2 linked regions of the Oryzias latipes genome follow. The protein of the gene in region 1 interacts with the protein of each later gene in a pairwise test. Links are inferred from orthologs where the notes say so. Each region holds a gene or a part of one and is shown in the gene's direction. Other genes may lie near its edges. The genes, in order: naif1 and sox14.

What was found.
Region 2: the proteins of naif1 (region 1) and sox14 interact in binary tests that used the Homo sapiens proteins (3 or more experiments, as listed by UniProt). The two-hybrid records come from large-scale screens. The link is inferred for Oryzias latipes from reciprocal best matches to the Homo sapiens genes NAIF1 and SOX14.

What each region holds. Positions count from the first base shown.
Region 1 is NC_019870.2:30,325,190-30,329,733, forward strand, and holds the start of naif1 (nuclear apoptosis-inducing factor 1), read left to right. Parts: upstream 1-1,680; 5' UTR 1,681-1,703; coding exon 1,704-2,148; intron 2,149-3,510; coding exon 3,511-3,555; intron 3,556-4,544. UniProt on the Homo sapiens protein: Induces apoptosis.
Region 2 is NC_019862.2:4,463,704-4,466,727, forward strand, and holds sox14 (transcription factor SOX-14), read left to right. Parts: upstream 1-1,496; coding exon 1,497-2,213; downstream 2,214-3,024. UniProt on the Homo sapiens protein: Acts as a negative regulator of transcription.

The sequences.
Region 1 (4,544 bases):
TGAATGTGGCAGCAGAAATGGAGACTCATCAGACCAGACAGCGTTTGTCCATCTTCTAGGGTCCAGTGTTGGTGAGTCTGTGTGAATTGTAATCCCCAGAGATGGTTGTGGGTGAAAATCCCAGCCCGTCTGGAACCAACAACCACGTTCAAAGTCACTTCAATCACCTTTCTTTCTCATTCTGATGCTGGTTTGACCTGCAGCAGATCGTCTGGACCATGAATACATGACTACATGTGTTGAGTTGCTGCCATGTGATTGGCTGGTTAGGAATGAATGGGCAGCTGGACTGGTGTACCTGATCACGTTGGGTGAACTGAATGACATCTTGAACTGTTTGACCTTTTATCCTAATAAAACTCTAGAAAACACTTGTTTTTTTTCTCTGCCTGCATAAAACCAGGAGAATCCTGGACCAAACGGACCGTTCAGAACCGCCCAGTTTGTTCACAGAACCCGGTCGTTTGAGCGGCGTGTTTCAGTTCCAACAGTCAGCCTGTTAAAACGCAGCGACTAAACGGTTCTTTTGGTTTGATCCGTCACAGCTTTAGTTTCTTAGTTTGGTAACTTATTAAATAAATGCATAAGATAAAAACTATAAGACTTTGTCACACAATGAAAACTGATGAGCATGTTCTAATACATCCTCAAGGCAGCATCAGCAAAGAAAGAAAAATGAAAGACCCGTTAGACACACCTTCTCATTCAAAGAGTTTTCTTTATTTTCATGACTATATTTGTAGATTCACACCGAAGGCATCAAAACTGTGAATTAACACATGTGGAATTAAATACATGACAGAAAAATGTGAAACAACTGAAAATATGTCATATTGTAGGTTCTTCAAAGTAGCCACCTTTTGCTTTGATTCCTGCTGTAACCGAGCGATGGGGAGGTTCAATAATCAGTCACTCTGTAGTCATAAACGAGACGGGACAACCAGTCCGCCATTTAGTGGATCTGCTCACCACTTCTTTATTCTTCTTCTTCAACTCCCAAAACTAATGATTCCCTCTGAACTTGCCACGCCCCCTGGTCTCTAGGGTCCCGGGAGGGACACACCTCTCCCAAAATAAAAGATCCAGGAAGTTGGTTACACTGCTTTGCTCACTCTTGGCATTCTCTGGATGAGCTTCCAGAGGAAGACTTATGGTGTCAAAATAGAGCCTAAAGTATTGCGCATCAAAACAGTAAAACCGCGCATCAAAACCCCAAGACTCTCGTGACTCTCAGCTCACGCGCGTCTCTGTTCCAGAGCGCAGAGCTCCGAGTCGCGGCAGAACGAACATGTTCTGGTCTCCAGAACCTTCAGGCGGGTCAAGAATAAATAAGGTTCATGTATGTGATTCATTCATAGGATGAAGGAACACGTCATTCTGGACGGTGCTCCACAAACGCGCGCGCCACCTTGACACTTCCGTTTTTTCCATCAATCTTTATTGAGGCTTCGGGAGCGCGCGCTGTTTGGCTCGTGCCTTGATTGTCATCTGTTCTACACAATGAGGCCCACAGAACGTTTGACGTCATCCCTCCACCCAGCCTATGGCGAAGCCGCGTTGGGGGGGCGGGGCTCCCGTAGCTGTTTGTTCTTCAGAAGAAGCCGATTCTGGAAGCCATTACGTTGCGCACAGCAGTTGAGTAAATCGCACTTTTTTGCGTACGATACGCACAATCCCTTGTCTTTAGAGGCTTTTCTGCACTTATGGCGTCGGCTGCCAAAAAAAGGAAAATGAATTTCTCGGAGAGAGAGGTGGAGATCATTGTGGAGGAAATAGAGAAGCAGAAGCACACACTGGTTAACCACTTCAATGCCGGAGTCACCCACATGGCTAAGAATAACGCCTGGGTCGACATCCTCCGCAAAGTCAACGCCGTCACCACCTGCCCCCGAGAGTTGCCCGAGGTCAAAAAGAAGTGGTCCGACATGAAGACGGAGGTGCGGCGGAAGGTCGCGCAGGCGCGCGCCGCCATCGAGGGCACGTCCGCCGACTGCGCCACGGTTCCCGTCATCCTCAGCGCCATGCAGCAGAGGATCTGCAACCTGCTGGGGGAGGCCACCATCATCAGCCTCCCGGCCGGAGACTCGGATGCTGAGCTGACGCTCCCGGTGACGGTGAGCGCCGGCGCCGCGGTCGCGCTGGCGGAGGGTAAGCGGCCGAACGAACGGCGGCCAAAGATCGTGTGCTGGTGTGATGATCCGCTCTGACAGAAGTTCCCGCTCCGATCCAGCAGCAGTCATGCATGATGGAGCGATGACATGTGGATCAGGACCTAAAGTCAGAAACATTCATTTAAGGACTGTGGGGCAGATTTCCGCTTCTGTCTAAAGTTTATGGTCTGTTTTTATTTACAGACGGGTGTAAACGCAAAGCTGTTAGGGAACATGGTCAGAAATCAGGATCTTCACATAAATGACTTATAATAAGAGGACCAACGTCGTCAGAGTGCGGTGAAGTTAGCGTCAGGTTGGATGTTTGAGCGGCGTCAACAAATTAACAAGTGCATAGATTTTACATCAAACTTTAGACTAAATGCTTTGCAAAAAGAAACAAATGACAATGAAACAATTCCTCATGTTGTGTTAAAACAATCGTATGTATTTTGCAATGTTTTCATGAGAAAAATGGTTTGAAGTTGATATCCTGATGTTTTTTCAATAGCTCCCAAACCATGTGACCTCATGATTCCATATATATGCACAATTATGGCGCCAGACACACCAAGTTATTTTGCAATTATAGATGCAGAATATTTTATATGAATTATTATATTAAAACTGCAGAGGTCTGAATTCTGGCTTTCCTTTCGGTTTCTTCCAAACCACGTGACCCAACGAGTCCAACTGTATGCAGAAATGTGGCAGTGACCCAACGTCATAGATGATGAATGTTCCATATGGGAGTATTCATGTGGGAACCTCTGACAACGGAATACATATAAACTGTTAATCATCTATGATTGCTAAACACATTGTTGTGTCTGATGCTGGGTGTCAGTGACACAACTCGGCTCACGTTTCACATCGCCGGGTCATGAGGGACGTTTTTGAGTCGTTTCAATGAGAACTTGTGGTGAAAGTTAGACTGATAAACCTCGAGCCATGTTTTGTTTATACCCCCCCCCCCCACACACACACACACACACACATGTTTTTCTTTAATCATCCTCCAACATCTTTACCTCCTTTTCCTTCCTTGTACTCATGATCTCCACCTTTAATATTTGGTCCCAAAAAAAATACATACAAATATAATGAGGCTCTATTATCGTTGCAGTAACACCGGTCCACCACTAGAGGCCCTCAGCTCCCATCTTTGCTGCTGGACAGAATGAGATTTAAAACAAATCTTTTTGAACATCACACAAAAGCACACAACCATAAATATGAGGATTTAAAGAAACTCAAAGACAGACGTTTAACAGTAATAAGATTCCCGGTGACTTCAAAATAAAATGCAGGTCAAAGTGTGACGATGAAAAAGTGACAGATGATGTGTTTTCATTTCCAGCTCTTCCGGCTGGTCCGGTGTGTGATGACCCAAAGGCTCTGAATGGTGAGTATTTACTCCTGTTTCTTTCTTGTGATTGACATTTCCTGTTATTGTGTCCAGACGTGATCCTCACGGTCCATCTTAGGACAGTCCTTCATGGTGTGTTTGAGGGTTTTGGGACGATCAAAGGGGATTTGATGAAAATCTGCTTTCCTCTCTCCTGGACCTCCCGCGGGGTGGGCTGGAGCGTGGGGCAGGTCTCCCTATGGGGGCCCTGGTTCGTGCCTGGGGTTGGGGGGTTATCATCGGGGGTTAGAGGTGTTTTCCCGGGGTGGGGCTCTGTGGGGGGCTATTCTTCTGGTTGGGCTGGAGCTTGCACTCTCTGCGGTCCTGTGGCCTCCCTGCTCCCTGGTGTGGGGGCCCCTGTGGCGGTCCTGCCCTGGTCTAGGTGGAGGACATGCACGCCGACGGGCAGGTTTCCTCTGTTTGCTACACTGTGTGGGTGTCGGGGGTCCAGGCTATCGCTGGTGCCTCAGCGGGGGTCTTGGTTATTTTCCATTCCATCATGGACCCCAGCAGAACAGACACCCTCACCTGAGCACAGGTGCTGTCTCACCTTTGACTGAATGAAATGTTTGCCATGTGTTGGTCTGTGTGCATATGTGTGTGTGTGAGCTTTAGTTGTATTGTGTACATGTTGACATGTTTGTGTCTGAACATCATTGGATCCAGCAGGAGTGTGTGAGTGGACAGGCCCCGCCCCCTTTAGACTAACATCTACACCTGACAGTAATGTTGATAATCTTCCAGCAACTTGTTGCTTAATGATTCTACCCCCCCCTCTATAATCATCCTTCTATTTCATTAAGTCCCCTCTTTTTCTCCCTTTCTTTTGCCCCCCCCCCGACACATCCATCTCTCTTGACTTCCTGGTTCTTCTGTTATCAGACACGGTTGTGTTTCACATGTTTCGACAGACGTCCTCCGTCTTCGTCAGAGTCATCATCAGATGGTAGCGTGTGACGTATCTAAAAACAGAAGACGACAACAGA
Region 2 (3,024 bases), on another chromosome or scaffold:
ATATAGGCCAACACATAAAATAAGCACCGAGCTATTTTGGGTGTTGAGAGTTCCATCTTAAAACAGCTTTAGCGAGTGCGCGTGCGCGTGAGAGAGTGTGCGGGGAGGTGCTTTCGTTGAATAATCACAGCTGAAAGAGTCATATATCACCTACATCAGGCGCATTAGCTCAGGGGCTATTAGGCAGTGGTCCTCATTCAAATGAGCGTTTTCAAACGGTGGCCGCCGGACTGTCAGAGTGAACCAACCCCACAGCCACAGACTCACTGTGACTCACTGTGACTGCTCCAAAACTGTGCATGCAACACTTTCTTTTAGGTTTATTGAATTGCATATGTCTGCGTTTGTTTGCGGGTGTTTTTGCTTGTTTGTTTTATAATTATTTTATCCATGCCATATTTTTGTTTGCAAGCTGGAAACTGAAGATAGACAGATAAAGGGTTGGAAAAATAAATAGGCCTATAATTTTTAGATTTTATTTTTACATTTTAAATATCTAAATGCTTTTGAGGGGATAGGGGGTGAGGGCGTGACCCCCCTTCTTGTCCAAGATTTGTTTCTATCTTTTAAACATAGCAATTCCTATGTCTGTCTAATTGATTTCGGTTTGAAATAATACATGACTGTTATTATTTTAGTTTCTAGTTTCGTTGCAGGAGAGCAGCGGTTAAAGCTCCCTCTGGCCTTTCGTGCGTCCAGGAGGACAATCCTCCTGAACGCTGCTCAGCATCGGTCTCTTGGTGTTCCTGCTCTGAATGGAAGTCGGGCTTTAACTTGGGAAGAGGTTGAAGGTTCGTGTTTGTTGCGATTTATTACATGAGATGTAATCGGGGGTGGGGGTCGTCCATACGCGCGCGCGCAAATGTCCTTTTTTCTAGTCCCCCCCCCCCCCCCCCCGCGTGCCTTTGTTTACGCCGTAACGCACGCAGCCCGTGCGTTTTTGGGTGAAGGTGTTAAAGAGGCGCTCTCCGTGCTGATTGGGCGCTCAGGTTGGGAGTGAACGCCCTGCAGATTATGTCAGATTGCGTGCAGAAACCAAACCAGCCCAGCCTTTGAACTTCACCGCTTTTGGCTCGTATTCACGCTCTTCCGCTCATTTCCAAACCAGGTGCTTGACGACAAACCTCCACCAGAGCGGCAGAGAGGGGGCGTCCGCGGCAGAAAATCAAATAATAACACCGGAGACTTTTATGACTACAGCAAACTGCGCGCGGAACGTGACTTTCACCTTTGTGGATGGGTTCCGTGTGCGCGTCTTGCATGCGCGTCTTTTCCTGACCCAGAATTGCAAAGCGGACTCCATTTGTGTTTTACCTCGGGAAGAACGGAACCGGGCTGGATTGTTTTTGTTTTCTTCTCCTTTTCCTGCTTCTTTCCCCAGAGCCGTGGCATGAGCAGACGCTGGCACGTGTTCAGGTGAATAGTTTACCTTTCCTCTGATAAGAGAACTTTTGGTTGTCATCAAGAGCGGGATAAAAAGTGCTAAAAGTTCGAAAATGTCAAAGCCTGCTGATCATATCAAGAGACCCATGAACGCCTTCATGGTGTGGTCCCGGGGCCAGCGGAGGAAAATGGCCCAAGAGAACCCCAAAATGCACAACTCGGAGATCAGCAAACGACTGGGCGCCGAGTGGAAGCTGCTCTCCGAGTCCGAGAAGAGACCCTACATCGACGAGGCCAAGAGACTGCGTGCGCAACACATGAAGGAGCACCCCGACTACAAGTACCGACCGAGGCGCAAACCCAAAAACCTGCTGAAGAAGGACCGCTACGTTTTCCCGTTGCCTTACCTCGGGGACACCGACCACCTGAAGGGACTTCCGGTGTCCGCTGCGGATTCTCTCTTGGGCTCGTCGGAGAAAGCCCGGGCGTTTCTCCCGCCGACCTCCGCCCCCTACTCCTTCCTCGACCCGAGCCAGTTCAGCTCCAGCGCCATCCAGAAGATGACAGAGATGCCGCACACGTTGAGCACCAGCACTTTGCCGTACGCATCCTCGTTGGGATACCAGAACGGCGCGTTCGGCACCCTCGGGTGCCCCAGTCAGCACACCCACACCCACCCGTCGCCCACAAACCCGGGCTACGTCGTCCCGTGTAACTGCACGGCCTGGTCAACGTCAAGTTTACAGCCCCCGGTGGCCTACATACTTTTTCCAGGTATGACCAAGACTGGAATTGACCCGTATTCCTCCGCGCACGCCGCTGCCATGTAACCCCACTGACTCTTTTTGCTCTTTTTATGTCACTTGAATACTGAAATGCATGTACAGATGGTATGGACAGCGCACCCCCATTCAAAGGCACGAACAGTATTACCTGCCCGGGCTGGTTGTGATCAGAAAAAAAAAAGAAAAGAAAAACACAAAAAAAACTTTTTTCACAACCAGTTCTTGGCTGAGCAAAGAAGCTGCAGCGAACTGTAAGAAATGTAAATGTTATAACGTTTATGGCAACCAGAAAAGGAGGCCTTTAACTTTATTTATGATGTACATTTTAATGCTGATATGCTGATTTGTGTTGATTATTGATAGGCTGCTCTTTTACTTTGAAAATCGGCTTGCACAATTAGCATTCACGTTTCCTGTACAGGCCTAAAACAGCCCACAGTTTGGCAAATTTTCGATGATGATCTGGACCTTTGGTCAACATCAGAACACTCGGGCTGCTTCACTTACGGGTTTTTTCTCTTTATATTTATTGGCTGGGAAAAAAATTGAGCATTCAAGTAAATGGTCTATTTAAAATGACAAAAAGCAAAGAGAACAAAAAAAACACACATTTTAATTAAGATGTTTAATTTTGCTTTAATTCTGTGGTTAAGTGCAAATATAGTCCCACGCGTCATTTCATTTTGTTGATATTTTTTAATGATCAACATTAATTTTGAGGATAACTTCTATTTGAATTCGAGGAGTTCTATGTGTATTTTCTATCTAAGATGGTAATTTAAAACATGTCATGTTACGGAAAGGATAATGTATCTAGAAGGTTCATACCTCCTGCTCTTTGTTCAAGTGCTGAGCA